Linked DNA regions of Macaca fascicularis. The protein of the gene in region 2 interacts with the protein of the main gene of each other region in a pairwise test. Links are inferred from orthologs where the notes say so. Each region holds a gene or a part of one and is shown on either strand. Other genes may lie near its edges. The genes, in order: UPK1B, KASH5, GOSR2, TRAF3IP3, BET1, GPR25 and SENP2.

Region 1 (4,066 bases), on a different chromosome or scaffold from region 2:
GCTGCAGAGGAATAAGGCATTGTGATGGACACAGAGGTGCTCCATGCAGTCCCCTTCAAGGGGGAGCTTGCCCTGCTGCTGGGAGTACTTGCAACCTCCCAGCCTCCAGTTATCAGCCCCTTTCAGGACTTGCCTCAGCTACAGAAAGCTGCCTTCCCAGGGCAACCCACATTGAAGGGCAGATGATAGAGGAGCCCAGTGGCAGAGCTACATTGACAGGCCATCTTCCTCCAGAGTTTCCCAAGGGGGACTGCTTCAGACTGTCCCACCTATATTGCAGCTCAACTTCTTTCTCTGCCCAGTCCTGTTTCTTCCCTGTCCCTGCCATGGGTGTTCCTCTCAGGGCACTCCCTAATAAATATATTGAACACTAAATTTTGTCTCAAAGTCTGCTCCTGAACAATCTAACCTGAGACAGAGATGATGCTGACCCTTGAGGAACTCCCAAGTCTATTGATTAAAGCACTCAGTAAATTCTAACATTACTGCTGTTACCAACTCCTAACTCAGGTTAAACAAGCTATGGTGCACGTATACTACGATAGGTTATGCAGCCATTAAAATGATGCTCTGGGTGCCATGTATAACACATGATGGCTCCGGAAGTCAGGAAAGAAGGAAAAAAGAAAGGAAGGGAAGAGAAGAGAAAGGAAAGGGAGGAAGGAAGAGGGAAGAGAAGAATTGGACATCAGATAATCACTTGAGCCCTCTCTCTTTGCCTGAATTTTTCTCAATCTGTTTCTTTCCACATCTCTTGCTCCTTATTGGTCTTTGGGCTACCTACAGTATGAGCATTACTTGGGCAATGACTATTGCTATGAATTTGGCATATGCAAGGGTTATAGAAACTAAAGCTGGACATGGCCCTGCACAGGTAAGCACATATCATTATCTCTGTGAGCAGTCAGGACTAACAAGCCTTCAACACACAAAAGCAGGAGTAAGGATCAAATTACACTAATCAAATCAAATCAAAATAAAAGCCCTGAATTTGTATTCCAGTAAAGTCCAGACCTAGGAGGGATCTAGGAAAGCAATGAGTGTGGCTGTCAAGGTGCTTCCAGATGTCAGAGTCACACATTCCAAAGCAGCAGAAATCTACTGACAGTCTCCGGTTACTCCCCCGTCTCAGCGAGGCAGGGCAGGCAGCGGCAAGCTCAGCCCATGTGAGGTGCCTCCTGCCAATCACAGACCACCCTTCCCTGGTCCTGGAGGTTCAAAGGATTGCAGGAGGGTAGAAAAGCACCTGGGGCTGGTGCAGACTGCGGAGCGGGCCGCACCCTGTGTGCAGAAAGAGGAGGCGCTGTGAGTAGACTGCTTTCCCTCTACAGGGAATCCCGCGGGCTCAAGGGTTGGGTTGCTCTCCCGGGAGGGAAGCTAGTGGTCTGGGAGCGAAAGGGGAAGAAGTTAGATTCCTGATTCATAAAGTCTGTCATTTTTTTTCTTTGTAATTTAGGGTATTGTGACTGTCCTGTTCTCTTTTACTTTGAACCGTTCAAATTGCTTTCTTAAAACCTTTGATATAAGTCTTGTTCTGTTCTGGAGATATTACGCAGCCATCCTGCTTTCAACCTGAAATATCCCCAAAGAAAGAACAAGAAAATCCAAGCACCTGAGAAACCCCGTATCTCCTGATTAAATCGCACATAGACAGACACCTTTGTAGACCCCCAATTTCCTTGTGGAGTCAGAAAAGCAATAGAAAATTTAACGAAATAGCTCGTGTCATTTCTGAATAATCCGTTCAGGCTAGCAGAGAGAAAGTTTCTTGGTCTTCTTGTCAGAAATCATTTGGTCCTGCCAACTTGTAATGAAATGTGTGAGGCAATTTACTCCCAGTTATTCTCTGCAAACACTTCTGCTTAATAAATGTGTCAGTTGAAGTAAGTCAACAAAGTAGCTTTATCTATGCAATGTTATTTTTACATAATTTGTTTTTACTCCTTACCAATTCTTTGTTCCACAAGGATGTGCAGGACATAAAGATATTTTTCGTTCTAATGACATTTTCATACAAAATACAAATTTAAGTTTCAAATAATGCTAGTATTATTTTATGTTTGCATTTGTTTATAAACCTAAAACTCTATTTCTAACTAGTTTTAAAGATTTTTAAGCCATTTAAGAATTTATAGCCAGTTGCAGTGGCACATGCCTCCAGTTCCAGCTATTCAAGAAGCTGAGGCCATGGGATGAGGAGTTCTAGTCCAGGCTGGGCAACATAGTGAGATCCTGTCTCTAAAAATATATAAATAAATTTTTAAAGAAGTTTTGTTAACTCGAATGTCTTCTTTTAATGAAAGACAATGTTTCTTGACCATTTCTTGCCTGAGTTGCTAAGCACAACAGGAAATAACTCGCTAGGTTTTATAGATATATATATATACTTTCAGTATAAATAAAATTTAGGTTACATAGTTTTCAGACCCTGTGAAGAAGTGGATTTTCTTTTTATTAACCTTTTCAGTGAGGAGAAAAATTTCTTACTTTACTTTCGCTCCAACAGATTGTTTTGCTTTCTGCTATAAAATAGTCTTTAAAATCAACTCACCTATATATTTTTTTTTAACTGCTGGGAAGAATCATAGACTTTTACATTCAAAGGGGACCTTAGACATCCTTTAATCAAGGAGAAAAAAAAAACTCAGAACTGTTTTTGTTTTTTGTTTTTTGTTTTTTTGAGACGGAGTCTCTCTGACTCCCAGGCTGGAGAGCAGTGGTGCGATCTCAGCTCACTGCAAGCTCTGCCTCACGGGCTCACACCATTCTCCTGCCTCAGTCTCCCAAGTAGCTGGGACTACAGGTGCCCACCACCACGACCGGCTAATTTTTTGCATTTTTTAGTAGAGACAGGGTTTCACTGTGTTAGCCAGGATGGTCTGGATCTCCTGACCTTGTGATCCACCTGCCTCAGCCTCCCAAAGTGCTGGGATTATAGGCGTGAGCCACAGCACCCGGCCAAAACTCAGAACTTCTTTTTGACTTCTCCTGCTTACGTTCTTAACCAGAGTAAACACCAGTCAGCCTTTAAATATGCTCTGGAATTTGGGCCTGATAGCCATTCAGGCCGCCCACAAACTTGATGGGCCACCATTCGCCAACTGGGACAGAGACCACATTGGTGAGGGGCACCGTCATCACACACCACGCTCCCCGCCTCGTCCCCCTGCCCCAAGGATTCTCCACAGTACTCCTTTCCTGGAGCTGGGCATCCCTCTGGCAATGCCCACACCTGAGGCCTTCATGCAACTGAGTGCTCCTGAGCCATTGCTTACAGCTAGTCCCTGATTTCCAATAGATGGATGACTCCCATCATACTGGGAGCACCAGGAATCAAGAGTAGTGCTGTCCAGTAAAACTTTCTGTGATAAGGGAAATGTTCTAGACAATAGACACTAACCACATGTATCTGGGGAGTGCTTGAGATGTGGTTGGAGCAACTGAGGAACTGGTTTTTACTTTTATTTGAATTCATTTGACTTTGAATAACTGCACGCAACTACTAACTACTGTATTAGTGAACACAGGTTTTGAGCTTTAAAGCAAGAAAAACTTATGGGCACTGTGAGCCATGGGTGATGGCCCTAGGAGAAAGCTCCTCTTTTTGTTATTTCCAGGGACTTATCCTACCTTAAGTTGAAGCAGACCAGCAATTGTTGTGACCTACAGTCTCCACACCCATCTTTACTCTGAGCCACGCAAGTGTCTGTTCTTGTTCTGAGTTTCAGGGTCAGGGCTAAGGCAATAGCATATTGTGTTTCTTCGTTTCTTCCTCTCCTATTTTTCCTTTTCTTTTTTTTCTCCTTTGTTAATTCAAATTTCTCTAGCATGAACTAGAGTTTGAGGTGTGGTTTGTGTGTTCTCTGGTGCAACAAACTTGGGTGAGGAAAAGAGGTAATGAACTTGAAAAAATGATCTCATGCTTACTGGGCGAGTCACACTTCTTTTTCTTCTGCTTTGCAAATTGGTTTGTTTAGTGACCAATTGTTTTTAGAACTTTTCAATGTGTCTGGAAACATCAACACTATGGGTATGATTAATTTTTATAAGAAAACAAACTGAATGA
Region 2 (3,500 bases):
AAGAAGAGAAGTCAGGAACTGGCCATGGAGAAGGACACTTTGAAGGTGCCACTCCTTCCTAGTGCCTGACAACTTTCCACCACCCTGGGGCCATTTTTCCCATTTCCGGTTTTAGTGACTGCAGCCTGATGAGAGCAGGGTCTTCCATCAAACTGTCAGACTCCCAGGACCACCCAGGCATCCCTAAAATCCCTGAAGTCCCGGAACATCTCAGGAGGTTGAATCGGCGGGGTGCGGGAGAGCAGGGCAGGCCAGACGGAGGGCAGGACCGAGGGGAGTCCTGGGAGGTTGGATGGATGGACCGGCTCCTTTCTTGGCAGCGGCAGCTCTTTGAGTGTGAACACCTCATTTGCCAACGAGACACCATCCTCTCTGAGGTGAGGAGCCCGGGGAGGGAAAGAGATTTGCCTTCCGTGTGCGCCAGCCACTTCCTGCCCCTGGTCTAGAAAGGGAAGTCCTACTTGGGTCTGGTCCTTGGATGTGCAGGCGGAGAGATTGGAGGGATTCCCCAGGTCCCAATGTGACCCCTCAGGGATCTAGAAGCCCTTCTGCCCGGTGCTCTCCCTTGGGCCCCAGCTCTTCTCTCAAGCTCACCCTTGTCCCTTAACCCCCCCAGCCAGTCCCCCCACCACCACCCCCCACTATGTCTTTGGGGAACTGGTCCCAGTCTCATTTGGCTTTCGGCTTTCCCAGCGCACTCGCCATGTGGAGAGCCTGGCCCAGACCTTGCAAGAATACAGAGTGACGACGCAGGTAACTCAGCGGCCCTGGCCACTTCTCTTTTGCCATCTCTGGGACTTGCTGCCTCTCCTCCTCATCGCTCTTTCTCTGTCGGTGGCCACATCTTGCTTCTTCTATCCATAATGTATGACTGTATGACTTACTGTGTGTCTCACCCTCTGTTTCTCTATCTGCCTTTTCACTTTTTTTCTGTTCCTTCCATTCACTTTCATTCTCTGTGGGTGTCTTCTCACATACCCCTCCTTATCTTTTTTTTTTTTTTTTTTTTTTGAGACAGAGTCTCGCTCTGTCACCAGGCTGGAGTGCAGTGACGCAATCTCGGCTCACTGCAACCTCTGCCTCCCAGGTTCAAGCGATTCTCCTGTCTCAGCCTCCCAGATAGCTGGGACTACAGGCGCACGCCATCATGCCCAGCTGATTTTTGTATTTTTAGTAGAGACGGGGTTTCACCATGTTGGCCAGGATGGTCTCGATCTCTTGGCCTCATGATCCGCCCACCTCGGCCTCCCAAAGTGCTGGGATTACAGGCGTGAGCCACCGCGCCCAGCCTCCCCTCCTCATCTTTATGTGTCTCTGCCAGGCTCGTGTGGGTTCCTGTCTCTGCCTCTAGGTCTAGGCTGTCTGTCTCCCTAGGCAAGTCTTCTCTGTTTGGCTCTGGTCTTTACCAGTCTCTTAGCCCTGGTGTTTCCCTTGCCTGTCTGTGAGTCTGTTTCCATTTATGTCTTTCATTTTTTCATGCATCACTGCCTCTGCCTTCCTTCTCTTAATTTTCTTGGCTGTGCTTTTTGTTTTGTTTTGTTTTGTTTTGTTTTTCTTTTTTGAGACGGAGTCTGGTTGTGTCGCCCAGGCTGGAGTGCAGTGGCACAATCTTGGCTCACTGCAAGCTCCTCCTCCTGGGTTCAAGCGATTCTTCTGCCTCAGCCTCCCAAGTAGCTGGAACTACAAGTGCGTGCCACCATGCCTGGCTAATTTTTTGTATTTTTAGTAGAGACGGGGTTTCACCCTGTCAGCCAGGATGGTCTCGATCTCCTGACCTCGTGATCTGCCCTCCTGAAGTGCTGGGATTACCGGCATGAGCCACAGCTCCCGGCCTCTTGGCCTGTGCTTTAGCTTCTGGATTCCTGTTGCTCTCTGTCTCTCTTTGGCTTCCTAACATTCTGTCATGGCTTTCTGCCCTTTGTCCCCAGGCAGTGTGTGTCTGGGGAGGCCAAAGTAGTCAGGAAAGTGGAAAGAACCCTGGAAGAGGAGCCCAGGGATGGGAAAAATGGAGAGCCAGATGTGCCCCCCACTTCCTCCTTTGCAGGAACTGAGGCTGGAGATTTCACGCCTGGAGGAGCAGCTGAGTCAGACCTATGAGGGGCCCGATGAGTGAGTGGAACTTCATAGGGTAGGAGGAGGCAGGAGGGGAGCCTAAGAGCAGAGACACCCTGGTCTCCAGCCCCAAGGTGGGCAGGGAAGGGAGGCCAGCATGAGCCGACTGAGTGGCCCCCAGGCACAAAGGCCGCCTTCCTCCCTCCTCCCTGTGTGGCCAGGCTACCTGAAGGGGCCCAGCTGAGAAGAGTGGGCTGGACCCGGCTGCTGCCCCCATCGCTGGGCTTGGAGATCGAGGCCATTCGACAGGTGGGCCTAACACCCCTGGAATAAGCTGCAGGCCACCAAGGCAGGATCTCCAAACATCTCCCCACTCTGATCCTCACACCAGCCTAGCCCTAACCCACATTGCTGCCAGAGGCTCCCATCACAACCTTAGCTTTTCTCTAACTCTATCTCGGATCCTAACCCCAAACCCACTGCCAGCCCCAGGCCTATGCCAGACCCCAGTCCGATCCAGCTGTGACTCACCCCTATCTCGTCTCCCTCCATGACCATCTCACTCCTTAACTTCATCTCGAACCCAGACCTCGGTCCTGGCAGCAAACCCTCCCCTGTTCCTGCTTCTGCCCACTCCCCACACCAGCCCCACACCAGCTCTTTTCTACCTCTCATCCTATTTTCAGCCACACACCTAAACCCGTTTCTGTCTCTGACCTTGTCTTCTACCTTAACATGGCTCTCCCTGACCTCGGAAACACCTTCTGTCCCAGAAACAGGAAGTGGCAATTGCTGGTCTCTCCAACCCTCTGTGTGGGGTGTGGCAGTGGGAGGAAGTCATCCATGATACCAGTGAGGATGCTGAGTTTCCGTCTGAAGCCCCAGCTGGGGGACAGGTGAGCACAGGAAAAGCTCTGAAGTCCAGGAGCTGGAAAGGGGCCCGGAGCGCCAGGTGCCGCCCTGGCCAGCCATTCACTCACACCTTTGCTTGTTCCCCATTTGATGAGAAAATGTTAATTGAGAGCACACTGTGTGCTGGACACCCAGCCACAAGCCAGACCAGACACCACCCCTGCCCCAGGGACTGACCTGCCAGCGTTGGAGACAAAGGTGAACAAAGCAAACACACAAATTGCACTGTGGCTTTTCGTGTCGTTTTGTTGTTTTAGAAAACACGCTCAGGAATTGCGTGATTTAAAATTGTACTACCGTAGGAAGGGAATAAGCAAGTTGTTTATGCTAACATTTTAAGGATATATTAAGCATTTATGTTTCAAATATAAGTACCTTTAAGAAAAACCAGCAAGCTCACTATGACATCTTTTTTTTTTTTTTCTTTTTCTTTTTTTTGAGGCGGAGTCTCGCTCTGTCGCCCAGGCTGGAGTGCAGTGGCCGGATCTCAGCTCACTGCAAGCTCCGCCTCCCGGGTTCCGGCCATTCTCCTGCCT
Region 3 (3,500 bases), on a different chromosome or scaffold from region 2:
TGGTCTAAAAAAGGCCTGAATACTACATTATTAACGATCTAAAATCCAACCATCTTTTAGTGTGTCTTATAGTTCATTAAATTTTTGAACTGTTAAACACTGCGACTTGACTGCTTAGTCTGGGGAAGCAAAACAACGTTGGCAGAGCCTGAAACACTTGGGGAAATTTACTGCAAAGCAAGGATGCAGCATTGAGGGTTAAACATCTACAAAGCGGGAAATGATGTGAATTTTAACAACAGGCTTAGAAAGCTAACATCTCTTTAGAAAATAATCCTCTGTAAAAAACAACATACAAAAAGCCAAAGCACACTTCACTTAGTGGAATATATTATGCAGGACACAGAAAAGGCCAGTCTGTTCTACAGCCACGTGCAGGAAATGATCTGGTTAAGACTAAAGGGCAGGGACAATGGGTTCTGAGAAATCCAACGTGCACACCAACACATTTTCAGACAGACTCAGGCAAGCAGTCCGTCTAACCCTACACATCCGTTAACAAATTCCTCCAAATTGCTGCTCAGACTAGGGGCAAAAACATTTTAATGCACCTGACACTGGAACCACACACATACCCGGCACAACGGCCACTGCCCGCAGGCAGCTCTGAAATACCGCCTTCTCTACAAATGGCCTAAGTTCTAATCATCTGTCTCTATCTGATCAGAAAAACGTTTCCACTATGTGAACTTCCACCTTTCTGTCTCAGACCAGTCCAACCAGGTAATTTTCACCTCTGCCTATTCCCCTTCAATTTAACTGCTTCCTCTTCAGGTTTTTGTCTTAGAAAAAGGGATTCTCTGTCGAGGTCTAGTCTCTGTGGCAATGCACAAAGTTCCCGTCATTTCCAGTTGGTTTCCTCATCACCAGTCTTCTTCAGATACCCCCAAAACAGATGGCGCTCAGAGATCTGAACTCCAGCCCCCACAATCTGCCAAATGCAGGCCGACCCTCACCGCAGGCCTGGCTTACGTTAGTGGTGAAGGTTCGAGACAGAAGCTCTTCTCGCTGTCTCTCCTGCTGCTCCCTTGCATGGCGCCGATGCTGGAAGTTTCTGAGCGCAGTCTGCAGGTGCTGGACATCATACTTTAACTGGTCGACCCGACTGGAATTGATGGAGAGAGAGATTAAATTCCAGGAACTCAGGGCAGCAGAGTCTCAGGGGGCCAGGCTTTGTATTCAGGAAAGACAGCATTTCCTTACTTCTCCCTACACCACCCCACGCTATACCCCACCACCACAAGATCTGATTTTGATCAATGATGTTGAAAGTAAAGAAGTAACGTGTGGTTAAAGCGAGATGGTAGCACACAAGCTTCTGGCAGCTTTACTTCAGAATCTGTTGCTCTCTGATTCTGGATGCATGACAGGGAACAGGGGACAGGAAGCAGGCTCGCTGACCTCTTCTTGACCTTCTATGGATTATATCGCTCTCCTGGAAGAAGCCCAAGGGCATCTTTGAGGTAAAGCATCCACAAAGTATCATAAAACTTTTGGAAACAGGCACTGGGGGTGGAGTGGCGAAGGTGGTTTCATTTTAATTTCATGGTGGAGTATCAAACATTAGATCAGCATTTCATTATGGGTGGACTGATTCAAGTGATTTTTCATTTCAACCCAAGAAGAACCCAGCAGGAACCAAAGAGCAGAACAAAACTCCATGGCAACATTAGGCTTCAGGTGGCTATGGGTCTAGTCAGAAAAACAGAACTGGAGGCAGAATTTCAAAATGACACCAAAGGGGTCACAAGGTTTCTGAGTCACAAACCTCACAGGCTATTTATTTTGAGGAGCATTACTCAGATACAACTGTGCCCTTTGGGGGGACTTTTTCTTTACATAGTCGTAGTTTTTCAACATGTACGTGGGTTTTCAGAATATTCTATCGCCTCCCCCCCCCCAGGAGAAAAGCCTATCTTGCCAGGCCTGGAGTAGCAGTGCCATGTCAGAGGTCAGCACTTACAGTTTGGCATTTTGCCTTTTGTTAGGGGGCTCCTTGCTGGACAAAATCTCCAGACGTTCTAGACGGCTGAATATCTGGTCTATGCTTGCTTGGATTTCGTTTTCTACTACTGTACAAAAAAGAAAAAAGAATAATTGCTGGAAAAGAGATAGTGAACTTAAATTAGAATAAATTACAGATTTTTTTTTCAATATCCAATAAACTAGAACTACATATTTCAAAAGGAGAAAAATGTATACACTAATGAATAACAGAAAAAATTCAAATTATGCCGTAAATGTTGTTTTGAAAAAAGTACATGTATATAGTTGTTAATGACACAACAATGCCAATTTTTTTAAAAAGCTGAAGGTAAATCTGTAGAAATAAATTTCCTACCTTTAGAAAATAAACATGCAAAGGTTGTACAAATAAATACTTTAAGCTAAATTTTCTGATATAGGTCTCTTTTCCTTTGGATTTCTCAGACGTGGATTATAAATACCTAGTAAAAAGACTGCCAGTTGAATTCCCTATAGTAATGAGTTTTTTTTTTTTTTTTAATTAAAAAAAAAAAAGCATAAAGGAAGGGGAAGATTAGTATGTGAAACATACAGAGGAGAGCTCCCTTAAGGCTTTCTGTAAGAATGGGTGGGCTGAGCAATGTTGACGTCCCCAAAATAGACCAAATATCAATAGGAAAGGCCCAGGAAAGAATCCACAGAGGTAAAGAGATATGATAAATACGGTCATTTTCCTTATCTCTTTCGATAAGACAGTCAAAATGACCTCTTTCCATTTCTAATCATGTAACGAGATTGCTGAGAAGGCAAACAAAGTCCAATGAACAAAAAAGCTAAACTGTGCACAAAAGAAAGCATCCAGACTGCTTCTTGCCCATAAAGAAGTGACAGCAGTGACACTGCCCCTTCCTAGGCCTTTGCGCCCACAGTAAACAAAGACAGTTGAGATTAGAACAAGGTGGGGCACAGAACCAAGAACAGAGCTGCTTTTGAAGCTGTGAAAGGAGACGTGAGAGAACAGGAGGAATGGGTCCGGAGGGAGCCCAGCAGTGGGGTGGGTAGGCAGTCCCCGCAGGTGGTGTCCATATGACTGACTCAGAAAAAAGATCTTTCCTTAGAATAGAAAAAAAAAAAAAAACCAAAAAAAACAAAAATCCAGCATGCTTCTCAAAAGAAACCATGCTGTGGGAACTAAACTAATTAATATTGCTGTTCGTTTCTGAATAATCCTCCTTAAAAGCCACAGTTCTCAGCTCAGAAGAAATGGCCAATTCCAGTTAAACATCTCTGAATTTTTATGGAGTACATTCCTCTAAGGACTAGGTAATTAGATTAAGACAGATGGAGGCAAGCGCTTCCATTCCCATAGGGCCATGTCAGGTTGAGTGGAGGGGTAATGGGGGATAAGACTTGTGGGATTCCAAAGGGCACACTCAGGGAAATCAGTGATTTTGCCATAGGGTTTTTCTGTCCACCCTAACAACAAAACTCATTCCACGCTGAATCATTAAGCCCCCGAGGCAGAGTGCAGTCAG
Region 4 (3,500 bases), on a different chromosome or scaffold from region 2:
CTGAGAAGAGGTGAGGAGTGCAGAAGTGCCTAGAGAGGGGAGAGAGGTAGTGAGCGAAAGGGTAGCTTAGAAGCTTTCCTTCCAGGGCTCCCCTGCTATGCTACCCTGAGCCATTTGATAAAAATGGAGGTAAAAGGAGGACTTGAGGCCAGTCTGATTCTTTCTTGTCCTAGTCTAGAGAAAGAAGAGAAGATCCTCTTCTATTCAGCATCCTTTGTCATATTTGCTCCTGCCTGCCTCCTGAAAGAGTTCACTGTTTGAGCATCAACCATGTGCTGGGCAGTAGGATAGGAATATAGAGTCAAACTCTTTGCAGACTAGATTTTGGCCCACACTCATTAACTCATCCCATTTGCTCCAGGGACAACTTAATGAAGACAAACTGAAGGGGAAACTGAGATCCTTAGAAAACCAGCTGTACACCTGTACCCAGGTAAGCATTCTGAAGGATATTTCCATCTCGGGAATCTAGAATTAAATGTGAAGAATGCTTGAACCTCAATCTTACTTTTGAGAAATGCCACCAGATAGAGAATAACACACCCATTCCTACTTACCCAGTTCTGGCTTGGCCATTTTCACTTTAGTCTCTAATTCACTAGATCACTGTCTCCATCCTTCTTCCTCTCCCTTTCTCCCAGTATCCTTCTCTTTGCACCCTGGAGGAATCCCAGCACTAACCACTTTGTCAGCTCCAGGGGAACCTTGAGAATACCTGAAACTGTAGGGAAAGGCCCTTGGTAAAGATTCACAACACCCAGACAGATCTTTACACATCCTAATCTTTGAACAGATGAGTTAGATGTTATAACGAAGTCTTAGAAAATGATTTTCATTCCATGGGCAACTTTTTTTGTTTTTTCTAGCAACCCCTAGAAGAATGTAAAAGCTCTTTTACTTGGCTCTTCTGTAACACCATTTTCCAGCATTAGTAATCTCCTGATTGGCCTAATCTTGGTTTACAAGAGATAGAAAGAAATCAGCTTTCACATTTGAGAAGTGATGGATACCTGACAGGTGGGAAGATGTCAAATAAGAGAATGGGGCGGAACAGGCAGACTTCTCCCATCTGGAGTTAGAGAGAGAAGACAGTTGGCCACATAGATGGCGTCTCACAGGGGAAGAGAGTTTATGGAGTCTATAAGTTTCTTGGTCCACAACTTTCATTTATTCAGTATGACTTGCTTTGACAGGACTAAATAATGCCAACCAAGTTCACAAGAGACCAATATATAATCCAGAATGCCAATCTATTCATTTTCAATAAGGAATAACACATAACCAGTGCCCAGCATGGATGGTCATTGGATGTCCAATAACTGGGACATCCCCTACATATGACCTCAACCAGGTTAATTCCTGAATCTAGTTTTTAATGAAAGTTCCAAAACTATAAGACCCACTCAAATTTAAATCCAAAATTTCAGACAATTCCAAAGCTAAATGGAAATGATTTCATATTGATCCCTAAATTTTTGTCATCTGGTCTACTGCTTACACAGTGGGTAATCCAGAATTGACAGTAAAATCTGCCTGCCTTCTCCGAAATCACAGGACACAAAGATGAAAGAAAGGGAGAAGGCAAGACCCCCAGTGAATTTGCAAAGCTGCACTTGTGTCTCCTTAATCCTGCAGCCAGGAGGAATTTTATAACGCGAATGTATTAATTTTAAACCATTAAGTTCATTAGGCATTGTAGAGAAGCTACAGTGATTTTTTTTTAAAGCAGCAGCAGTATGCTCCCTCCCTGAAGGAGTTTACAATCCAGTAGGAAAAACAGATGAGTCAACAGAGTAGAATAATAGAGGCATGCAGGGTACACTATGTGAACACTATGAACACTAAGAAAAGCTGCCTAATCTATAAGACATTGTGGGATGGGGGCAGTTGGTCAATTTATCAGAACTGATGATACTGGACTGAATCTTGAGTATGAGTAGAAGTTAACCAGTTCTAGGCAGAAGAAGCTATATGGGTAAAGGCAGAAGCCAAAAAAACAGAGTGCTAGGGGATCTGCAAACATCTCAGCTTAGGTGGAAGTAGCATGGGATGAAAGTCTAGGCATGTAAGTGGAGCCATGACAAGGAGTTTGGATGTGATTCTTAGGATGCTGAGAATCCATGGAGAATTTATGCAGGAAGTGGCAAGATCAGATTTGCATTTTAGAAAGAACCTTCTAAATGCGGGACTGAAAAGGGACTGAAGGGAGGCAAGATTTGAAGAAAGGGAAGCTGTTGCATTAATCCACATAACACTACTACTAGAGCCTGAACTAAGGAAGCAGCAGTAGGGATAGAGAGGAGACAGATATGAACTATGAAGGAAACTGTCAAGGTTCAATGACCAACTGATTACTGGAAGGAAATGAGAGAGAAAATGAAGATTGACTCCCTGGTTTAGGGTTTGGAAAAGACTAGATGGATGATGATTCTGGTCACTGAGATAGGAACCCCAAGAAAAAAGAACATGTTTAGAAACATGAGTCCTGTTTAGACATGTTGGATTTCAAGAGCTTGTGGAAGGCCTCAGATATAATGCCCAGCAAGCCTAGGGCACTGTTTATTATGCCCCCCCACTCATCTCTCATTGCCTGAGGGACTCTCCCTGCTAGCTCTACCCTAAAAGAAAAGGCTCACTAGATTACTGGTATCTCTGCCTGGGGGAAGAACCAACTTCTTTTCATTTCTGTATCCCAGTTCAGGATTTGGCACACAGAAGTTCAATGTGTATTTGTTGAATTGCATCAAATTTACAGAAATACTCCCCTTGGGGAATGAAAAAAGTACTACTGGAGATGGAAGACCAGAAAAACAGCTATGAGCAGAAGGCCAAGGAGTCACTGCAGAAAGTGCTGGAGGAGAAAATGAACGCAGAGCAGCAACTACAGAGCACACAGGTATGGGGATGCCACACAGACCTTGGGGTTGGGGACTCCAGGCAGCTTGGGGAACAAGGGAGCCAGCTGCACAGCTCCCTGGAACCTCTCCTCTCTGACCTCCCTCAGCGATCCCTGGCCCTGGCAGAGCAGAAGTGTGAAGAGTGGAGGAGCCAGTACGAGGCTCTGAAGGAGGACTGGAGGACCCTTGGGTCCCAGCACAGAGAGCTGGAGAGCCAACTCAACGTGCTTCAGTCCAAACTGCAGGTACCAGGCACTGGGGGTGGGGAGGGAAGACAGGGTATGGGGAGGAGGGGTGGTGATGAAGAAGCTGTTCTGGATTAGGGACTCCAAAGGCAGCTGACAGCATCTGGCTTTCAGTTCCTCAGTCACCACCTACTTTGTACCAAATTCACTGTTTTGGCTCTGAAATTTAATTTCGAGTTTAGCAAGGATGTCTGCACTGCTCATGCAAATGAACTAAGCGTTCATTGGAATGACACCATCACCATCCAAATGAAAAGAACTGGCTGGAATATATATCAGCCTACTAATGTCATATCCCAACCCACTCTCCAAACTCCATCCCAAAAAAGCATCCAGTTCAGAATTGCCCATTGTTGGC
Region 5 (4,002 bases), on a different chromosome or scaffold from region 2:
AGATACCTATGCAATCTCCACCACCACAAAAACCACAACAAAATATTGGAGAAGTATTTTCCAAACAGAAGAGAGTTGTACTATCTGAATTTTCCTGCTGACACACTATCCATAAAGCTCTCCACATGTGTTATTATAAAAGAACTCAAGGAGTGGGCATATTTTTTCCCCCAGTCAACAATTAAAGTTACCATTTAAAAACGCATTCCTACTCTATTAATCAATGATACTCTGTGCAAACTGTAGTTTAATAAGGGCCAAGATACTTAAAGAAAAGAATAATGTCTTCTTATTTTGTGTGGCTGAGGTTCTGAGTATACAACATTTACCCAGTAAGTAATTACTGACTGGTTGAATGGAAACATTTGACAACTTCACCAAGGAATTCATTCTAAATTTTTTCTTTCCTATTTTCTTTCCTTTGTTTAGTTGCTTTTGCCTATCTTAATTTTAATTTTAGAGTTCTTCCATGCTGTTCCATTTATTCAAAGTGATATTCTTGTTGTATTTATTGCCAAAAATATATCAATGCACATTTCTATTGAAGAGTTGATCTTCCCTCAAACTATGACCCATCCCAAATACAATGAAAAAAGTAAAAAACAAATAAAATGCTAGAATTGCTATTCCAAACAGAGCCACTTCCCTTCTGGTGGTGTACTGCTATGAAAAGTTGTAAAAAAGCTAGTGATTACTGAAGATCATCCTCAGCCTTTGTTTATTTAGATAAACGCTACTTCTTTTGGATGGGTTCTATCAGTAAGCTAACAAAACCAGTTATCATGTGAAGTGTGGCAACTTCTGCCTACAGATATCTATCAGATTCACTATGATCCCAAATTTAAAATTTCAGGTCAATATACATTCATACTTTAAAAATAAGAAAAGAAAAAATGTTTTGTTTTTTTTTTTTTTTTAAAGAGTAGGTAGTGGGTTCTAAATTAGTGAAATTCTAATTTAACTGGCTGAGCTGAGGTCCAGGAAACAATACTTTAAAAATTTCCCAGGGGATTCTAATGTACAGTCAGGGCTGAGAATCATTACTCAAGTCACTTTCCTGTAATTTAACATGGCACACTGCAGCAGAAAAATGCTCAAAAGGGCCTAGGGGCCTACTGATGAAATCCAAACTCTTTGGCCTCGCATGCGAAGATCTCCACAGTGTGATCCCGCATCACTTACTTCACCCAAACTGGTTTAATCATAATCCCTTATTTCTTTTTAGTTCCTCCTATCTGGAACCCACTTCCCCTACTCTCAATTATTCAAGGTCTACTTCAAATTCCTATGTCTCCACAAAATACACAAGGATCTTCTCCACAAAGTACACAGTAATCTGTCTCTGAAATCTCTGAGACCATCCCTTGTATGTAGAACCTATCTGGTATTTGGATGTATAGCGACTACTTTGTACTATAACTTATCTTTGCACATATTTCTACTCTCCAACTAGACTGGAAGCTTTGGGGATCGCAAACCGGGCAACAAACAACTGTATACCTAGAGCTTACTCAAGCACACAATAAATCTTTTTTTGTCATTAATGATGATGAACAAGAAAAACATTTACACATATAAAACCAAACTTACTCAAAATTCTTTCTTTTTTTTTTCTCATCAATTTACCTGGCCCCACTTTCTATGATCCAAGTATTCATAAAAACTTCATTAAAAAAAACAAAAAACTTTTTCATACTACAATTTATTAATAAATAAACAAGTCTATGGTTATTGGCAACTTTCATTATATCTGACACATTGGGGAATTTGTTTTTCTTTCTTCAATCTTATAATGACTGAGAAAGGTAACACTATCTTTTTTCAAAAGTTTCATTTATTTTCTGAAGTATACTGCACTCTTAATTTAGCAGGGTCTTCTTTAAAAAAAAAAAAAATAAAAAATAAATCGTGTCCTAAGAGAAAGCTTCAGAATCAGAAAATGCTGTTCTAGTAGCTGTGCGTTACTATAAGGGCCCATTAAAATTCCTTGGGTCTAACTTATTCTTGCTGATGAGCCACTTTACTAACCCCAAAGGTAAAGATCAAATGTTAAGTCGCCAAACCTTATCACGTTCTACTGCCTTAACCGTGGCACAAGGTTCAGATTAAGAAATCGCCTTTGACCCAGAAGTTACAGTTCCAGGACCTTTAACAATAATGACACGTACATTTATTTACCTTTGTAACTCACTGTTACCAGACTAACGACCACTACTACTAGTGTGTTTTGCGTGCAACCACCCACTCTTCAAATTCCACTTCTGAAGAAACTAAGATCCAGGGCCAGTAGAGGAAGAGAAACCGGAGTCGGGCTTTGGAAAACATAGCAGTGTCCATAACCACGCTCAGGCAATAACACTAAGACACTCGACCACTGAGATGCCACCTGTACACACCCACCCCCAGTCCACTACTTTCTCTAGCCTACCATCCAAACTTGAATCTGACTCAGACTTAAGGAAACTCCAAGGAACTGGGACAAATGGTATGTTTCCATTCGACTTGGCCCACAAAGATCCCCTCTAGACAGCCTGTTTTTTGGACCAAATGCCAGGAACAGAAGACAGGTTCGATTTCTTTCCGCGCCCAGCATGGCCGGTTCTAGGGCCCCGAACTTCGAACCTCAGCCCTCTTCTTACCCAGGCCTGCACGCCTCATCCTGCCAGAGGAGAGAGAGAAAAGGCGGGCGCGGGGGGTTGGGTGAGTAGGAAAGAGCTGTGACCCCGACCGCGTCTTCAGTACCAGGGCCGGGCGAAACACCAACTTCTTCCCCTAAAGCGCCACGACATCAGTGTAGTCTAAACACCGCGCCTGCTGATGGCGTCACCAGGGCGCTCATTGGAGCCCTGGGAAGAAGGTTGAATGGCATTCTGGGAAATGTAGTTCACCGACGCATAAAGTGTTGTTGAGGGCGTGGTGTGAGCCAGGTTCCAGGGGCGGCCGGGGCTTCCGGTAAAGGGGCCGGCTTCTACTGCTGCTCCGACAACGTTCCAGCTGCTCCGCTCGCAGCTTCAGGTAGCTGCTTTCAGTTTGTTAACCACCAAGATTAACCCAGCAGATCTGCTCCTCCCGACCCACAAGAGGGTGGTTGGGGTATCTTTCCTGATTCAGCCTCGTACTCCCTCTCACCTCCAGAGGCAGTTGAGGGAAAGTTAGACAAAACTTTGTTCAGGTTTCTCAGTTTACAAACAAGTAATCCGACACCCACAGAAGTAACCGATGTGTGCCTCGTAGTATCCGGTAAAGGAGAGAAAACCAGGTGCCTTTGAGTAGGACTCCTGCTCGGATAAGAGCCAACTAGGAAAGGCGCGGGGTCTCGTCGGAGGCACTGAATAATTTGTGAATAGTTAGTTCCCTGTTACTGCATCTGTTGTACTTCTAGAAGGAACCAAGACTTTTAGTTGTTATAGGGACCAAAGGACCCCTAAACTCCCTCCCACTTAACTTTTTACACAAAGCAGTGTGCCAGTTTAGGGGTTTAAAAGCTTGCTGGCGAGTTGGAGGTGTTACTGGTATCGGGGTTAATCCTAGAATTTCATTTTATCTCACAGGATTATTTATCGTGAGAATACGATGAAATCATGGTTTTTGAAGGAAAAAAAAAAACCTGATACACAGGAGGCCATCAAAATCCACTGGGTGTCTGCGGTTTTGTTGTTGCTGCTGTATATATGGCAGTGGAATCGTCTCCACACTAGAGTTTCCGAATATGTGATCTCTGATCACTTAGCGTTTCCTCATAGTTTCCCAGGACATTATTAACATTGACTATAACAGTGGCATAAGTCTCTGCGTTAAGTTGCTCTGGTAAAAAACACACGAAAACAATTTTTGATAAGAGTTATTAACCTGGGAAGGAAGCTTTATCCAATAGTGTTTTGATAGAAAAAAATCGCCATTTTCTAAAAGCAATGGAATTAACTGAGCATAATATCAGGGACAATTATTACAAATAAAAGATGAAGATTCAATAAAAGAAATGATAGCTAGGTATCCCTTTAT
Region 6 (4,058 bases), on a different chromosome or scaffold from region 2:
CTCGCAGTGCCTGAAACAGTGCCTGCTTCATGGAGGAGTTCATTGTTAACAAGTCTGAATCGAACAAAATTGATAATCCACCTCAAATTTTCCACACCAGGTTGCCCGGCACATCAGCCACTCATTCCTGGGGACACTGGGGACAGACTCAGAGGGCACTGTGACATCAGTTCCACCACAATATCTTGTGGAAGGGATATCTGCTAAGAAGAATTCAGATGTAATTGGCTGCATGCCTCCTTCAGGAGGAAGAGCAAGCATTCCCTCCCCCATCCTCTCCTCCTAAGGGCCCACCGCCCACTCAGGGTCAGACTTCATTCCCCCTCTTCTTTAGGTATCCTCCCCTTACTCTCAGTTTCTCATTTCACAAAGGATCTTGCTGCCTCCAAGCTCCTGACTCATAATTTAGGACAACTAATCTGGTGTTTCATTAGGTGTCATCTTTTGAACTGAGCTTACATCTGCGTCTGGCTTAATAGATAGCTTTTTTAGGCTGGGAGAAGACAGGGAAGAGGCAGATGTGAATCCCAGGCTTGGCCCCTGTCCAGCAGGATGATCTGACTACACCCCTTCCTAGATGCCTTAAAACCCTTCCACTCCGCTTCATGAGGACCTGTTTGGGTCAGAGAAGCCACTCACAGGGTGAAGACACAAACCCCACATTTCAGGATGCTAACAACGGTTTGAGTGCCCAGGGCGGGCTCCCCGACCCACCCAGATCTGCTGTGTCCCGGCAGTGGACTCTTTCCTAGGGAACAGGTGGATTTGGGGGGGGGGGGGCGTGCCTTAGGCCCCATACTCATAAAATCCCCTGTCTTCTCCCCTCTAAAACAGAGAAAACAGCAGCCGGTGGGTGCAGGTGGGAAGGGGTGAGGTGGAGGCTGAGAAGAGATTAGGGCTCTCTGGCACCCACCACCTCTTGCAACACGACCCTGAGGCAGTGGGGCAAGTATCCCGATTTCACGAACAAAGAAACTGAGCAACTAATAGAGGAATGGGCCACGCTCCTACTGGGAGGCGGGGCAGGTCTCCCAGCCCTGAGGACTTTTCCTCCCAAGACTTAGTTGTGAAGCCCCTTTTGCCTATTACCCCTCGGGTCAGCCCCAAATCGGAGGCCACCATCTCTCCCACAGGAGCCTGCCCCTCCCACCCCATCCCCTCCTCCCTCCTGTCTTTCCTGCCCACCCATTTGCTCGAGCTGGGGTGGCAGGAAGGGAGGTGCACGACACGGGCATGAAGAGCAAACCCCCTCCTGCTCAGAGCTGCTGCCGCCTGAGCCCAGGGCTGCACCCAGCGCAGGCCTCGTGGCCAGGCCATGGACCCCACAGAGCCCTGGAGTCCCAGCCCGGGGTCAGGGGCCTGGGACTACTCGGGATTGGACGACCTGGAGGAGCTGGAGCTGTGTCCGGCCGGGGACCTGCCCTACGGCTATGTCTACATACCTGCACTCTACCTGGCGGCCTTCGCCATGGGCCTGCTGGGCAACGCCTTCGTGGTGTGGCTGCTGGCCAGGCGGCGCGGCCCACGGCGGCTAGTGGACACCTTCGTGCTGCACTTGGCGGCCGCTGACCTGGGCTTAGTGCTCACACTGCCGCTGTGGGCCGCGGCGGCGGCGCTAGACGGCCGCTGGCCGTTCGGCGAGGGCCTCTGCAAGCTCAGCAGCTTCGCGCTGGCGGGCACGCGCTGCGCGGGCGCACTGCTGCTGGCTGGCATGAGCATGGACCGCTACCTGGCCGTGGTGAAGCTGCTCGAGGCGCGGCCCTTGCGCACCCCGCGCTGCGCGCTGGCCTCGTGCTGCGGCGTCTGGGCCGTGGCGCTGCTGGCTGGCCTGCCCTCCCTGGTCTACCGGGGGCTGCAACCCCTGCCTGGGGGCCACGGCAGCCAGTGCGGGGAGGAGCCCTCCCACACCTTCCAGGGCCTCAGCTTGCTGCTGCTGCTGCTGACCTTCGTGTTGCCCCTGGTCGTCACCCTCTTCTGCTACTGCCGCATCTCGCGCCGCCTGCGCCGGCCGCCGCACGTGGGTCGGGTCCGGAGGAACTCGCTGCGCATCATCTTCGCCATCGAGAGCACGTTCGTGGGCTCCTGGCTGCCCTTCAGCGCCCTGCGGGCCGTCTTCCACCTGGCGCGTCTGGGGGCCCTGCCACTGCCGTGCCCCCTGCTGCTGGCGCTGCGCTGGGGCCTCACCATCGCCACCTGCCTGGCCTTCGTCAACAGCTGCGCCAACCCGCTCATCTACCTCCTGCTGGACCGCTCATTCCGAGCCCGGGCGCTGGACGCGGCCTGCGGGCGCACCGGCCGCCTGGCGCGAAGGATCAGCTCGGCCTCCTCGCTCTCCAGGGACGACAGTTCCGTGTTCCGTTGCCGGGCCCAGGCCGCGAACACTGCCTCGGCCCCCTGGTAGCTGCCCCGGGCCGCTGGAGGTGGGCGACAGCGGAGCACCGAGAGGAGGGGAGAAGTCCCGGGAGGGGACCCAGATGCGCCTGTTCTGGCGGCAGCAAGCTGCTCCGGCCGGCATCGCATTGCCTCGCGCGCTGCCTGGACTCCCAGGGTCTCCTCCATCAGCTTCCCCGGAACCTCAGAGCAATTGAACTCCCCTAAACCAGGCTCCTGAGACTAGCTGTTCCCTGTCAGCCTGCAGGGTACAAGATAAGTGCTATGAGATGGAGCAGACAGCAACTCGGAGACCCGCAGATTCACCAAGAAGACAGAAGGGAAGGGGATTTCCTTCTCTGCCTCATTGGGAAGAGCACTGACCAGAAATCGAACCCAGACCCCTAAATGCCATTCTGGTTTCTGGCTGTGCTTTCTCCCGTCTCCCACAATAGCTTTTGCTTTCAGAGAAATACCTTCTCCAAGTCAGGCCCTCTGCCCTTCTCACTCACAAAACCCTGGTGTTGAATCTGGTGACACTTCTCCCCCTACGAAGCGGTAGGACTCACCTGGAAGTTGTTCTGGTCTTTCCCTCTCAACAGAAGGTCCTGAAATCGCTCACCAGGCGTTTCTTAAGGTCTCCACCACTCAGCCAGGAACCTCAAAATCTTCTCTGTGAATTCATCTTTCTCAATAAACAGACACTCCTGCTAGCCCTGTCTTCACAGTCGTCTTTGCTTGCGCAGTGGGAGTGAAATGCGTATCAGGAGGCGGGTCGCACACTGGGTGAGACAAAACTCAACACAGTAGTTGAGGTTGATCTCAGGATGATGAGGATTTGGGGTGGTGTCTGGGAGCTGAATGCTGGCTGCACTCTGCAGGTGCAGTAATCCCATAGGAGGAAGCAAATCATTTATTCTTATTATTTTTAAGGACATTTCACATTTTGAAAGCTACAGAAAGAAAATATATTTATATAAGGGCATCTGCCAGCCGGGTGTCACTTCTGAGAGAAGATGTGTCATTTTGGATTTTCAAATATATACCAGGCCTTTTTTTTTTTTTTCTATCTTTTTTCAGACCTTCCATGAACTTTTTTCAGACCAGTATGAACTGTGGGGATTAGCCATTTTCTGACTCTGTCATTTCTCCTTTGAGGTTTCTGTAGGGTTTGGAAATTCACTGTTTATACTTTTGATTTAAGAGGATTTGGCCTAAAGACATTTCAGTCAGTGTACATCCTAGCCAGATCCCCACAGGCCAGTCTGGATGTTGCAAGCTCTGGGGGAAAGGGTGGGTGTGCACGCGGATAAGCACCTCAGTGCTAGGTTGGGTCTGAAGCCTGGCATTCTGTCGCAGGCTATCCATCCCATCCCCCCATCAAATACCCCTGTATTCTCTTCAGCATTTGGAGCTGCTGGATTAGAGCAGATTGAACATCGGGTCTCCTAGATCAGCCTGCCAAAAAGTGCATTTCTGCATGTTCCTCCCATATACTCCAAGAGAGGCAAGCCTTGCAGCCTGTGAGGTCACCTCTGCCAGCAGGACACATTTCAGGCACTTTGGTGTTTGAGAGCTCGGTTAAGTCTTGGCACTTCTTATCCTCACTATTGCTCTCTGAGGCAAGAAATTATTTTTTCATGGGGCTGAGACCCCAGAATTTTCAGGGCAGGGAAGCTGACTCTGAT
Region 7 (3,500 bases), on a different chromosome or scaffold from region 2:
TTCATTGCATTTTTTAAAAAAGTGGTTACAGTTTACTAAAATGCCCCTTTTGCTGATTATTGCATTTGAAAATAATAAAAACTTACAGAACATGAAGAATGAAGGTAGTTAAAATTCTTAAAGATGTGCCACATCTTGGCTTCCTCTACAATGTTGCCCTAGTAGGCAAATCTCTTGAATACTTACTGTTATATTGGGCATGCAGGTGGAGAGAGAGAGAGATCCATAAAATAGTGAAGCTGTGTGCTGGGGGAGGAAGCATATATTTAGAAGAAAATAATTTCTTCTTTTTTTTTTTTTTTTTTGAGATGGAGTTTCACTCTTGTTGCCCAGGCTGGAGTGCAATGGCGTGATCTTGGCTCACTGCAACCTCTGCCTCCTGGGTTCAGGTGATTCTCCATGCTCAGCCTCCCAAGTGGCTGGGATTACAGGCACCTGCCACAACGCCCAGCTAATTTTTGTATTTTAAGTAGAGACTGGGTTTCACCGTGTTGGCCAGGCAGGTCTCGAACTCCTGACCTTAGGTGATTTACCCACCTCAGCCTGCCAATGTGCTGGGATTATAGGCGCGAGTCCCTGCCCCGGGCCTAGAGGAAAATAATTTCTATTGGGTTAATGGATTTAGTTTTGTATTCTAAATAATGCATTTATCTGCATAATTCTTTAGTATGATGAAGCCATTTATTCCATAAGGAGTCAATTGCTAAATTGCTGCCTGGTTTCCAAGTTTCTGCCTGTTTGCTTATTCTCTTCATGTCAAAAAGGATGGTATAACCCCTTAGATGTCCTAATCTTATTTTGATGTTTTATTTACTTATTTTTAAGATGGAGTCTCGCTCTGTCGCCAGGCTGGAGTGCAGCGGCACGATCTCAGCTTACTGCAACCTCTGCCTCCCAGGTTCAGGTGATTCTTCTGCCTCAACCTCCTGAGTAGCTGGGACTATAGGTGCATGCCACCATGCCCAGCTAATTTCTGTCTTTTTAGTAGAGACGGGGTTTCACCATGCTGGCCAGGCTGACCTCATGATCCACCCGTCTTGGGTTCCCAAAGTGCTGGGATTACAGGCGTGAGCCACCGCACCCAGCCTATTTTGATGTTTTAAAAGTTTAAAGGAGAGAATGGGTGCAGTGGCTCACACCTGTAATCCCAGCACTTTGGGAGGCTGAGGCAGGCAGATCACTTGAGGTCAGGAGTTCAAGACCAGCCTGGCCAACATGGTGAAACCTCGTCTTTACTAAAAATACAAAAAAAAATAGCTGGCATGGTGGTGCGCACCTATAATTCCAGCTAATCAGGAGACAGAGGCACAAATATCGCTTGAACCCGGGAGGCAGAGATTGCAGTGAGGTGAGATCATGCAACTGCGCTCCAGCTTGGGTGACAAAGTGAGACTCTGTCTCAAAAAAAAAATAAAAGTTTAAAGTGGAAATCAGGATTTTAGTATTATGAAGGGAGCAAAGGCCAGGAAATTAGACACACCTGGGTTCAAATATTCTACCTTTTAATAATTATATGACTTTGAATATGTAAAATAAATTCTCAGTTTTCTTCTCTATAAAATGGTAATAATATCTTCCCCACTAATACGGATTAATGATGTGCTTCAAGCATCTAACACCATGTTTGGCTCATAGTGGTTAATACATAGTAGTAGGATAATTGAGACCATACTTTAGATGTAAATATTATTATTATTGTTTCCACAAGCTAATAAGTGAACCAGCATTTGTTGTATTAGTAAGATTGCTTTGTAGTTACAAGTTAAAATATTTTCAGGGTTGGTGTGGTGGCTCATGCCTATAATCTCAGCACTTTGGGAGGCCAAGGCGGGTATTGCTTGAGCCCAGGAGTTTGCAACCAACTTGGGCAATATAATGAGGCCCCATCTCTATTACTAAAAAATAAGAAAAAAATGTTTTCATACTATAGTAAGTCTTTGATAGTATATTTTTCTCAAGAGTCAGGTGTTGCCGAGATGAAAAACTTTTTTCAGTCTCAGAGTTTTCAATAACTGATAATGGGTTCTATATTAAAATAACAACTTCTGGACTTTCTAATTCAGGACATGGAAAAGGAAATCAGTAATGCCCTAGGCCATGGCCCACAGGATGAAATCCTAAGTTGTGCTTTCAAATTGCGAATTACTCGAGGAGATATTCAGACATTAAAGAACTATCACTGGCTCAATGATGAAGTAAGTTGTATTCCCTCCCCCTTTTGGCCATCATTAATTTTAACTATTTATTTATTATCTGTAATCAAAGTGACTTCTACCCAGTTATAAGAGGTTGGTAAAGCAACTCTTAGTTATAATTAAAACAAAAACATCTTAAATCTTAAAAAGATGGTTAGTTCTGATTTTCTGCCTTTAATTAGCAATATTTCCCTTTTCTGCGTCTGTACTTTATTACATCCACCACTCCATTTACTGGTCTTCAGTAAACCCTGGGTACAATTGATGAATGGGAGGAAGCAGCAAGTGATACTGTATTTTAGGTGAATTCTTATAGTAGCTGTTTTTTTGTTTTTGTTTTTTGTTTTTGAGACAGAGTTTCGCTCTTGTTGTCCAGGCTGGAGTGCAATGGTGCAGTCTTGGCTCCATGCAACCTCCACCTTCTGGGTTTAAGCGATTCTCCTACCTCAGCCTCTCAAGTAGCTGGGATTACAGGCATGCACCACCACGCCCAGCTAATTTTGTATTTTTAGGAGAGACAGGGTTTCTCCATGTTGGTCAGGCTGGTCTCAAACTCTGGACCTCAGGTGATCTGCCCACCTTGGCCTCCCAAAGTGCTGGGATCACAGGCGTGAGGCACCACGCCTGGCCTGTTTTATTTTTTGAGTAATAAAAGGATATATTGATTATACTCTATGTATTTTTCTTTATTTGAGTGATAGCTGAAAAATTTTGCCTAACTTGTCATCTTGTATCCTTATTACATTTAGCAGAAGCTAACTCTTAAGTTCTTTGACAATTTTCTGGTGGGTTCTTTCCCGAACTGTTTAGCCCCTGCATCTTCTCTCTTTGAGGGAAATCCCCTATGACTAGTTACTTATAAACACATTCTTTGAAATCAGGAATGTTTTGTTTTACATTATAATCTAATTTGTTTATTGTAGAACATTTGGAAAATACAGGAAAAGTAAAAAATATTACTGTTCAAAAGTACCACCACTTAAAGATAAATAAAATGTTAATATTTTGGTGTATGTCCTTCCAGTTTATATTTTAAAATTGAAGTCTAATTTATATATAGTAAAATTCACTTACTGTTAATATTTCTGCATTTTTTTGCTGTGTTACAGTTATGTAGATCTTTTCATTATTGCACAGACTTTCTTCCTGGATTCCATCTTCTGGCCATTAAGTGTTACTTACATGCCTTAAAAGTAGAGTTTCATTCCATTTTCATGTGTTCCATTTTGCACTGATCACTTTTTTCCCTGTCTTCTACTATAGAGAGTCCTTTTATCCCCTTCTTTAGTACCTTACCTTTGAATT

What was found.
Region 1: the proteins of KASH5 (region 2) and UPK1B interact in binary tests that used the Homo sapiens proteins (3 or more experiments, as listed by UniProt). The two-hybrid records come from large-scale screens. The link is inferred for Macaca fascicularis from reciprocal best matches to the Homo sapiens genes KASH5 and UPK1B.
Region 3: the proteins of KASH5 (region 2) and GOSR2 interact in binary tests that used the Homo sapiens proteins (3 or more experiments, as listed by UniProt). The two-hybrid records come from large-scale screens. The link is inferred for Macaca fascicularis from reciprocal best matches to the Homo sapiens genes KASH5 and GOSR2.
Region 4: the proteins of KASH5 (region 2) and TRAF3IP3 interact in binary tests that used the Homo sapiens proteins (3 or more experiments, as listed by UniProt). The two-hybrid records come from large-scale screens. The link is inferred for Macaca fascicularis from reciprocal best matches to the Homo sapiens genes KASH5 and TRAF3IP3.
Region 5: the proteins of KASH5 (region 2) and BET1 interact in binary tests that used the Homo sapiens proteins (3 or more experiments, as listed by UniProt). The two-hybrid records come from large-scale screens. The link is inferred for Macaca fascicularis from reciprocal best matches to the Homo sapiens genes KASH5 and BET1.
Region 6: the proteins of KASH5 (region 2) and GPR25 interact in binary tests that used the Homo sapiens proteins (3 or more experiments, as listed by UniProt). The two-hybrid records come from large-scale screens. The link is inferred for Macaca fascicularis from reciprocal best matches to the Homo sapiens genes KASH5 and GPR25.
Region 7: the proteins of KASH5 (region 2) and SENP2 interact in binary tests that used the Homo sapiens proteins (3 or more experiments, as listed by UniProt). The two-hybrid records come from large-scale screens. The link is inferred for Macaca fascicularis from reciprocal best matches to the Homo sapiens genes KASH5 and SENP2.

Annotation. Positions count from the first base shown.
Region 1 is NC_088376.1:164,009,100-164,013,165, reverse strand, and holds the start of UPK1B (uroplakin-1b), read left to right. Parts: upstream 1-1,266; 5' UTR 1,267-1,305; intron 1,306-4,066. UniProt on the Homo sapiens protein: Component of the asymmetric unit membrane (AUM); a highly specialized biomembrane elaborated by terminally differentiated urothelial cells.
Region 2 is NC_088393.1:57,356,569-57,360,068, forward strand, and holds part of KASH5 (protein KASH5), read left to right. Parts: coding exon 1-45; intron 46-57; exon of another isoform or gene 58-128; coding exon of another isoform or gene 129-320; coding exon 321-377; intron 378-693; coding exon 694-753; intron 754-2,044; coding exon 2,045-2,109; intron 2,110-2,273; coding exon 2,274-2,361; intron 2,362-2,825; coding exon 2,826-2,948; intron 2,949-3,500. UniProt on the Homo sapiens protein: As a component of the LINC (LInker of Nucleoskeleton and Cytoskeleton) complex, involved in the connection between the nuclear lamina and the cytoskeleton.
Region 3 is NC_088390.1:66,846,360-66,849,859, forward strand, and holds part of GOSR2 (Golgi SNAP receptor complex member 2), read right to left. Parts: intron 2,101-3,500; coding exon 1,964-2,100; intron 1,106-1,963; coding exon 973-1,105; intron 1-972. UniProt on the Homo sapiens protein: Involved in transport of proteins from the cis/medial-Golgi to the trans-Golgi network.
Region 4 is NC_088375.1:67,597,420-67,600,919, forward strand, and holds part of TRAF3IP3 (TRAF3-interacting JNK-activating modulator), read left to right. Parts: intron 1-361; coding exon 362-433; intron 434-557; exon of another isoform or gene 558-721; intron 722-2,755; coding exon 2,756-2,896; intron 2,897-3,004; coding exon 3,005-3,142; intron 3,143-3,500. UniProt on the Homo sapiens protein: Adapter protein that plays essential roles in both innate and adaptive immunity. Plays a crucial role in the regulation of thymocyte development.
Region 5 is NC_088377.1:127,321,590-127,325,591, reverse strand, and holds the start of BET1 (BET1 homolog), read right to left. Parts: upstream 2,801-4,002; 5' UTR 2,659-2,800; coding exon 2,640-2,658; intron 1-2,639. UniProt on the Homo sapiens protein: Required for vesicular transport from the ER to the Golgi complex. Functions as a SNARE involved in the docking process of ER-derived vesicles with the cis-Golgi membrane.
Region 6 is NC_088375.1:58,609,711-58,613,768, forward strand, and holds the start of GPR25 (probable G-protein coupled receptor 25), read left to right. Parts: upstream 1-1,258; 5' UTR 1,259-1,315; coding exon 1,316-2,401; 3' UTR 2,402-4,058. UniProt on the Homo sapiens protein: Orphan receptor.
Region 7 is NC_088376.1:97,550,366-97,553,865, forward strand, and holds part of SENP2 (sentrin-specific protease 2), read left to right. Parts: intron 1-2,063; coding exon 2,064-2,195; intron 2,196-3,500. UniProt on the Homo sapiens protein: Protease that catalyzes two essential functions in the SUMO pathway.